Linked DNA regions of Saccharomyces cerevisiae S288C. Changing the gene in region 2 together with the main gene of any one other region gives a genetic interaction. Each region holds a gene or a part of one and is shown on either strand. Other genes may lie near its edges.

Region 1 (4,398 bases), on a different chromosome or scaffold from region 2:
GCAAGTAGATTATCCTCTAGTTAAATTAAACGCGGATGAACTACGCCATTAAATCCATCATAAGAAACTAATTACTACTTTTAGGAAATTAGCCAACTAAAAACTGCTGAAACGCCACATTTCACATAAAACCCCACGGAGCAGTAATGGGAGATCTTAAGCTCAGCCCAGTACATATGTCCATCAGCCTTGAATAGCCACGGTGAGTTCTCGAAGCTTCCTTCCACCTAGTCCAGAATATTTCTTGGTAAATGGCTCGAAGTTTTCGTATTAAACGATGCTATCAGCGGCATCGTGAAATATTGAAATATAAAAAGTATTTACGCAACCGAAAAGGATATTAAGACAAACCCATACAATAGCCCATAAACCAAGCAAATACACATCTCATGTCAGCTCAAGATTATTACGGAAACTCTGCCTCCAAACAAAGCGTACGTTAATTTTACAAGTTTTGCCTTTAGAAGATCACATCGTACTAACGAGCCCTTGTATTTTCATTACATCACTTTCGATTCAGTATTCTCGTCCTAGCGCTCCACCACCAGGATATGAAACGGCGTCTAGAGGTTACGCTCCATCGCAAAGCCAACAGAACTATTATCCACCTCAACAGCAGCAGCAGCAGTATCAGCAACAACCTCAATACTATCAGCAACAGCAGCCCCAATATTACCAACAACACCCACAGCAGCCCATTTATGTCCAACAACAACCGGCCAGTTCTGGAAATGAAGACTGTCTAGCGGGCTGTCTAGCGGGTTTATGTTTATGCTGTACTTTGGATATGCTGTTTTAGAGTATCTCCATATCTTGTGGGAGCAAACCCTTTCACACAAATCCACTATATAAAACAAAGCACAATTGCACCTCTGATCTTTTAATCTTAATTAAATAAGCGTGATTAAAGTGTTCATGCAAGTAGATAATATATAATGATGATAAGTTCGAAAATGCCCTTATAAAAATTAAACCGCGTGCTAGAAGTAAACCTCCTTCAACCTGCCTCTTGAACGAATAAGCTTCTTACAAGAATCTGCGGGACATAATTTGGGGCCATAATTATCCGGATGAGCCGAACCCTTTAGTTGAGCTAGTTTCTTTTTGGGCATCTTAGATTTTTTTTTTGCATTGTCAATCCTGGCGAAACACCTACCACAAAATGCATGACCACACGATGCAATAAACGTTCGTTTTGATAAATCTCTATCAAGCATTGATGGTCTGGCTAGGGTTTGGTAGGGGCAGTGGAATTTGTATTTTGACACTAACCCTTCAAATGAAACACCACGATCCTTTTGACTGATTCCAGTAAAATCATCCGGTATTCCGACCCCCAATTCTGCGCCACACAAGCAACAAACAGGAATATCCTCGAGTGTTTTTGCTAAATCGTCATCTGTCACAATGATGGTTTCTTCTTTACCATTTTTCGTAATGTCTAATTTCATTTTTGGCGTAGTATCAAATGACGCGCTATAACCTTCGGGTAGGCTGGCTGCCCTAGCTTCGAATTCTTCCTGTTGGGCTCTGGTTTTGTTCATTAGATTCTTCATGACCACATCCCGCTCTCGTTCTTCTCTCTCTTGGATCATATCAATGATATTTTGAGTGTGTCGTTCCTCGTCAGCATCGCTCAATGCTGGGCCACTCCACAAACGACTTAAGAACCCATCCTCTCCATTGAAATTAAGATAGTTTGTGATTGATTCACGTAATGTGCCACGATGGAAAACTCTTCCTGCCGTTCTTTCTTGTCTTTCCAATGCTTCTCGGTGAAGTCTCAAGGCCTCTTCCTGAGTATTTCTGACCCTATCAATGGCCCAATTCTGCAGCAGTTGATTTCTGAACTCAGTGAAGAGTGCCATTAGTTCTTCTTCACATTCTTGCAAAGTAATTGGAGCAACATTTTGTAAAATAGACCTGAATTCATGCAGTGACTCTGCACGATGAAAAGCACTACGAATATCAGGCGTATATGATTGTATTCGTTCCCTGATTGATTGTAACCTAATAGATGTACTTATATTTTCGTCACTGGACACCCTTTGCTGTTGTACCCTACGTTGTCTTTCTGCAATCCGTCTGCTCATTCGCATACGGCTCTCCCTACGAGCCCTTTGAATAGCTTCTGGTAAATTATGGGTATCATCTGTCCAATCTTCATCGTTTTCATCAGACCGGTCCACAAATAAATTACGGGCTCTTGTAGCACTCCTTCTCAGTAACTGCCTGCGTGATGCGCCTAGATCTTCTTGGAATTCAAATGACCTTCTTATCGGTATGTCTGTTGTCGTCGCAGTTACCTCAAGCCTCTCCCCGCCTGGCAGGTTCAGTGTCACTCTGGGTCGTGTTGTTCTCTCTTCAACTATTGTCAGGCCATCATCACTTTCATTGTTATTACCATTATCATTCAAGTACCCGTTTGTGTTATCTACTTGTATTGTTCTTGGAGTTTCTAACGTTTCAGAACCTGGCTCCTGATCAAGATCGACGTAATGTGCAGAAGGATCAATAGGTCCATCGTCTCCAAAAAACCGTCCAACTTCTCGTATTATAGTGATATCGTCGTTATTAGCTTGAAAATCAGGGCGCTCAGAGCTTGCTGTTATGTGAGTCCGTTGAGAATTCCTGCTCCTTGAATCTGACCTCACAAACCTATTTAAAGCATCACGTCGTCTCCCTACCCGTCTGTCTGGGTACAACCTCACAGGAAGGTTAGCCTCGCGAATAGAAGCGTCTTCTTCCTTATCACTATCTATTAATATAACTGTCTCATTTGGATTATTGTCTGATGGGCTATTATTGCTCTTTGTTCGACCGTTAGTATCGCTATGCATTCTATTATTTCGACTATTAGAGGAGCTCCGCGTTCCAAATAATAATTTTTGGACTGAAATCTTTTCAAAAGTTCACTCCTAGACTGAAGCTCCTAGTGCAAATTTCGACTTGGTTATTACCAATCAACGCAACACACGCTCTTCTTAATGATTAAGTCTTCGTTTTGGTCGCACACTGCCTCTCATCCATGTTAAATAGTAAATATTGCGACCTTGCGTATACAGTGATGTTTCTTATGGGCAAAGCCAAAAAAAAAAAAATACGTAAGAGTGACAGATGAAGAAGTGACACTTTGAACAAAAGACTCTATCAAAATTTTTTCAGATTCAATCCAAGGATAAAGAGAAATCTATGATGTAGTGTTACAAGAATTAATGATATATGGTCATCAAACAGTGTCGAGACTGGAGAACAGCTTATCGATATTGTTCCTACCTTTAAAAAACTCGAAATATGATTATGATTTCTACTTGCTTGCTCTTAACAATTAATGACCAAAAAGTCACCACATATACTCTTTTTTTTTTATATGGCGAATACGTACAATACTTTTGTTCTCTAAAAGAATTTAGTAATATCTATTTTACAAAGTCGAGGGTTACAAAAACTTCAAATAGGAAGTGAAACTGAATGGGGGAAATATATATAAACGAAACAATTATTCTGCTAATAATTGAGCAAGCTACCAGAAACTTTTGACTAATTTCCTTTATTCAACTTATTTCTTCAAACCGCTTCTCATGTATCTACCAACGACGATACAATGGTCTCTTTCATATGGCTCTAAAGTCAATTGTTCTAATGGCTTAATACGTTCCTCACGTAACTTTTGAACTTCTCTAGCAAAAACGGTTTCCGCGTCTACAGTAGAATCAATACAGTTAGCCTTAATGGAGATAACAACACCACCTTGGTCCTTCAAGAACATATGAGAGTTCAATGCAATAATACGAGCTTGATCAGGCTGGGCAACATCTGCGAAGACACAGTCAACCATACCAATCAACATTCTGTATTTTTGTGGGTGTCTAGCATCTTCAATGATTGGGATGATATTAGGTCTCTTCTTTGCCATAGAAATCAATTCTCTGCCTGGTCTGTGAGAAAATTCTACGGCGTAGACAACACCTTCTGGACCAACAACATCTGAAACGTGAGAAACAGAAGTACCGGAAGCAGCACCTAAATATAAAACTTTCTTGCCTGGGGCAATAAATAATTCATCTAGACCACCCATAATACCGGCAGCCAACTTAGATCTGAATGGGTTCCATACACGGTATTCGACCTTGGTTGGTGGGACACCATCTTCCTTAGATGGTTCTTCAACGGAGATTCTCTTTTCACCATAAACTGATTCACCTGGGGCCATGTTCTTGGTAACTAGCAAATCTTCTTTACCTCTAGCAATGTAAACACCGGCATGTCTATGTGGTTCAATAACGACCTTGGCACCACCACGGGCACCACCAGCAGCGCCACCTCTACCACCTCTGGAGCCACCACGGGCACCACCACGAGAACCGCCTCTACCACCGAAGCCGCCTCTGGAACCAC
Region 2 (5,230 bases):
CAAAAGACTCTAAAGTGTTTTGAAGGGTTAAAACTATTTCCTCCAGTTGTTCCCTATCAAGCTTAACAGGAACTTGTCTTTTAGAAGCTTCATCGTACCGTTCGCCTGGGACGATACCCACTGCCCTGACTTTACGGATAATAGAAATCTCTGAAGGTAGGTTTAGTCTTTTTCTTAACCTGTTAAGAGTTCTCTCGGCAAAGTCCAAAGTCTTTTCCACGTCCTCGAGGGACCAAGCCTTCATTCTAGGCAATAGCCATTCCTCTTTGTCAATTTGTCTAAAGCCAAAGTTATCTTCCTCCGGGTCTTCATAGTAACGGAAAAGGTAACTCGACTCACCACCCATTATTGTTAAATTCTGCTTTTGAGAAACTGGTATATCAGTTGAATCATGTAATGCAACAATTAATCCTTTCAATCTGTTCTCATAGGTTCCAGCTTCATCATATCCGGCCGCAGTGACTATTCCCACATTGATACCGCACCGCAACAGCTTGAGAATATAAGGAATTACAGGATTAGTGTAAACCAGGGAGCCACCATCTTCATACAGCGTCACATCTCCATCAAAAGTCACTAATCTCAAAACCTTACCATTATGTAAGTTCTCCTGTTTCTTAAAGTGAAATATCTGTGCAGTATTCAGGATATGCCTGATATCATTAAAACTGGGTGCTACCATTCTACGCGCCGAAATGGCCCGTTGTGAGTCTTCCCATAGAAAAGCTTGTTCCAATGGAAGTTCCGTAAAGAATGTTCCAATTGATGGAACCAAAAGATTTAAACGCGATTGTCCTAATATATTCAGAGATTGAGAAGAGGCGCCATCTTCAATTTCGTCTTGGCTCATGTTTCTTGAGTCAAATTCTATTTTATCTTTAATCAGCCCTTCAATGTCTTTAAAGATATCAGCATACTGCGACCTTACACGTTGAGTTGTTGCTAAGTCGTCATTGTAGTCACCTTCATGAGAGACGGCATGTAGAACAAAAGGTGAGGCCAGTAGCCCCTTTACCCAATCTATAAACTCATCCTTGCGGTGGCTCTTCAAATGATATTCCACTCTATATCTTGAGGACATTGCTATTATAAGTTAACTCACGATCTTTTGTTACTTTCTTTGAATAGTTTTCTTTTCTTAGTACATTCCTTTACCTTTTAAATTTTGTTAATTTAAGGGCGGCCTGTCCCGCTAAACGTGGGAAGTGAAAGGACATGAAATATTATAGTGTAATACAGGAAGTATACAGAGAAATCTATAGAAACCTATCACTGCAGATTCGCACACTACACCCATGAAGTAACCACAGTAGTAAAAAAACATAACAAAAGTCGTAATATTTATCAAAACAAAAACATCATTTACGCCCAAAAGTGGAAGTCAATATTAAGAGCGAAATGAAACAATAGAAATAAAAATAGAATACAATCGGAAAGGAAAGAAATCAAAAGACGGTTAATCAATCTGATGTTAAATCGACCACTTCCGAGTTATCTTGAGCCGATGTGTTAAAGTCATTAGTTTGGGCCAGAGTTTTATTCATTATGGCGTGATTTGCCTGTGGTCTCCGTTTCATAAGGGTGGCGTATGGATTCTTCGGAATGTAGATAGAAACATTAGAATGCCTTCTCTTCCTAATTTTTCCATCATCCCCATGGCCGCTGGTGCTCACGTGTATATATGGAGGGAGATGTGCCGCCGATGTGGTCCTTGTTGGTAGTTCAGTTTCTGCTTCTGAATTTGGGTCCACAGGGGGGATTGGAGGCAAATCACCTTCGATTCCCAAAAGATTACGATCTTGAGCTGTGGTATTGTAATTAGGTCCGTAGGGGTTTCTCTGCGCTTCCGTTTGATTAGTCAAATTTTGTAGAACAGCCGGTAATAGTGGCGTTGATGGCCCTCTATTGTAGAATATTCTGCTGTCACCATTCGTCGCCGTAACGAAAGAATTAATACTGCTATTGTTCGTCGGTGTGTCATTTATATTTGTAGTAGCGCCTTGGTTCAAAAATGACCTCATTTGAAAAGCATCTTGATAATTATCTTGGTCCATAGTTGGAGAACCTTTCGGCGTTGATGTATGATTGGGGTTGTAGTCACTGGATCCTTCCGATTCTGAGGGAAATATATCTGCTCTTAATTGGTCATTACGGGGGTTCACGTGCGTTGGGAAGCTTTTACTAGCCGGAATAAAGGCTTCATCATCTGAGCTATCCAGAGATATTATTTCGGGTTCGTTGTGGTTTGAACCATTACGCAAATTAGTATCGAAGGCATTTCGGCTGTCATAATCTTGCTCTTGTTTGACAGTGCCTTGGTTCTCGTTTTTCACACTGTGATTTTGGTTAACAGTATCCGTTATAACGGCCGAACTATTATGAATCGGTTTCCATGAGCCATCAACAGATATCTCAACTTGCTCAACATCTTCATTGCAATTTTGAATAATATTATCTACAAATTCGGAAATCTTCAACTGGTCGAATTTTATAGGGTGTTGACAAATCGGACACTGCCATGTAGGGACTTGTGACTGAGAGTGAAGAAACCAGAGAGCATCAAAACATTGGATATGCTTACATTGGTCAGTCTTCGCCGGATACTTCATCCTTGTACAAGATATAGGACATTGCAAACTCAGCACCGTGGAGGTTGTAATAATATCGTCATCATCTTGCTCATTCAAGGTTCTTTTGATGTATGCTGTGGTGGCTTGCTTGATAATTTTGGGCCTTTTCAGAATTTTCCCCAGAAGAGCTTCAGGTGAAAAAACTTCCACTATAAAGCAACTTATAGAGTACTCTTTATCAATATTGAGATAATGTAAGTCTAGGTGATTCATCTCGGTCGGTACTTTAAGATAAGGCGTTAAATTTGCAGGATTACCTGTCCCATTTTGTTTCTTTAAACCTTTCACGTTGTCCTCTAGTTTGGTGCCATTAAACACTAGTTCACAGGGATACGGGAAATCTATTGCCTCATGGCCCACAGTTTCATATATAAACGGTATTGAAAAGCCAGAAAACAAATACAGTTTATAACTCTTGTTAGATTTCAAAAGATCATGATTAGATTTACTTACCTTGAACTTCATTTTTGTACAACCTCTTCCTGCAGATTGCTTCAATTTTTTATTGGCATCCGGTATTTGTACTATTGGTTTGTAAAACGGTGAGGTAAAAGAATATGCTAAGGCCTGTTGTTGGGAATAAGGTGGCAATGCAGTACTCTGGAGAGCTGTCACGGGTAGTTGCCCCGATGCTACAGGATGCTTGAACGCACCCGTCTTTAAAGTTTCCCAAAGGGTAGAGTATTTTGGTAATGATGAGTTTATCCTTACTTTCGCGATAAGAATCTTAATAGCCTTAGGCCTCCACGGATCTATATGTCCAATATCACAGGATTTTCTTAAGAATTGTTTTATTCGGTCTTGTAAGACAGCCTTTTTGCCCGTTATGGATAAATCCAGAGATTTGCATATTTGCTTTAACTCTAGAACCTTTAATTGTTCCATTTCATTTATTGCATCTTTTATTTCATTTATGAGTCCACCACCTGTGTTGGACAAAGGGTTCGTAAACATATAACTGGCATTATTATTATTATTATTATTATTATTATTTGACATGACACTTGCCATCGTGCTCTTTTCCCTTATACGTTTCTTGATTATCAGTGTATCGTTTGTGGTATTCTTAGTTCCTTGATATTTGCCTCAGTAATAGCCCTTTAAAGACCAACAAACGGATGACTATAGAAATGTTAATTTTAGTGTTATGTTATATGTGTGGTACTGAGCTGTGTTTGTTATATTATGCTCTGTGTGATAAAATAGCTAAAATGGATGGATAAATTAACACGAAAATTAACGAACAAAAATCAACTAACACACTTCAAAGCATAAAAAAAAGAAAAAAGAAAAAGAATCAAGAACAAATAATAAGCTCTGCTATAAGAAAATATATTATGTAAATAGTTTTGCGGTTAGTTTTTGACTTCCTTTATCACATTTTGTTGAACAATGATTTACTATACTAAAATATACTTAAGTTCTATGTTTTACTTTCAAGCCGTTATATCGACTTGTTCTTCTTGTATGTCACAAATATTGACAATACTCTCCTTCAGCACAGCAGTTGTACCCCTGGGGAATTTGTAGCTTTTCTGCTTTTCTTCTCTAACATTTGGAGTCAAGTAATTCCTCAAGTATTCTGCATCTTTACCTATTTCCATGACACACACATCCACATTAGAACCAGACCCCAAATCATTCCAGATACCAGCCTGGATTGCATCAGAGGCCAACTTTATGGCTTCCTCCTTCGTAAGGTCTTGCTTCCAGTGTGATTCCAACACAGCCATTGCCGCTAGAGAACCAGATCCTAGAGAAAGGTAGTAGCCCACGTCAGTAGAACCATGCGCATGAATGGAGAACAAATGAGATCCCGTAGGGTCTACACCTGCAACAATCAAATAAGCACCAATATGACCTTGGTACTTAAATAGGTGCTGCTTTAGCATTTGTAAAGCTGAGACCACTCTTGGTTCTCTCGAGGTATATAAGGAATGTAATTCAATGTTAGACCCGATCAACTGCGTAACTGCCTCAGTATCGGCGGCGGTACCGGCACCAGCACACCATATTTTGGGGGAAATTCTATGCAATTTTGCGCAATTCTTATCTGCGACAATTGGACCTTGTGTTGATCTTGTATCTGCTGCAATCACCACTCCGTTATTGAATTTTACGCCTACAATGGTGGTACCCGTGGAAGTTGCCTTAGGTTGTGTGTGCGAGTTTTCCGCTAAGAAATTATTTCTTTGATAATTGTCGAACGATAAACCTGCCATGCTCACTCAATTCTATTTTCTACAATCAGGTTTATGTGGGGGGAGTATTCCTGAAAAAATTTAACGCTTTACTATACAAACTCTCCACCTCAACTGATCACCCTTCTGCTGAATTATTAGTTTATCCTTTTCATCTTTCTTTTTGGTATTTTGCCACTCGGCCGGGTTATAAAATACGAAACATGGCCCTAATTTACCCGCTTTTACAATAAAGGGTTTGTAATGAGGGTAAAAATATTGGCCCTAATGAAAAATCACTAGCAACGGAAGTGCAAGTAGAACCCTGAAGTCGCCGAGTAGGAAAGTGATTCCCAAGAGGAGTAGAATAAAGAAGAGAATCTACATATGGATTATTTAGGTAATAGTTTCATTGCTGAT

What was found.
Region 1: mutations in NFI1 (region 2) and SLX5 impair growth when combined (synthetic growth defect), as found in Saccharomyces cerevisiae (5 studies listed by BioGRID, with this or other methods).

Annotation. Positions count from the first base shown.
Region 1 is NC_001136.10:427,509-431,906, reverse strand, and holds SLX5 (SUMO-targeted ubiquitin ligase complex subunit SLX5), read right to left. Parts: upstream 2,841-4,398; coding exon 981-2,840; downstream 1-980. Other genes in the region: YDL012C (uncharacterized protein), read left to right, coding at 390-434, 521-799; rRNA methyltransferase NOP1, read right to left, coding at 3,560-4,398. UniProt on the Saccharomyces cerevisiae protein: Component of the SUMO-targeted ubiquitin ligase (STUbL) complex SLX5/SLX8 that mediates ubiquitination and subsequent desumoylation of sumoylated proteins and proteins containing SUMO-like domains for their degradation.
Region 2 is NC_001147.6:626,900-632,129, forward strand, and holds NFI1 (SUMO ligase NFI1), read right to left. Parts: upstream 3,642-5,230; coding exon 1,461-3,641; downstream 1-1,460. Other genes in the region: ISN1 (IMP 5'-nucleotidase), read right to left, coding at 1-1,081; PUP1 (proteasome core particle subunit beta 2), read right to left, coding at 4,067-4,852. UniProt on the Saccharomyces cerevisiae protein: May act as an E3 ligase mediating SUMO/Smt3 attachment to septins. May be involved in chromosome maintenance.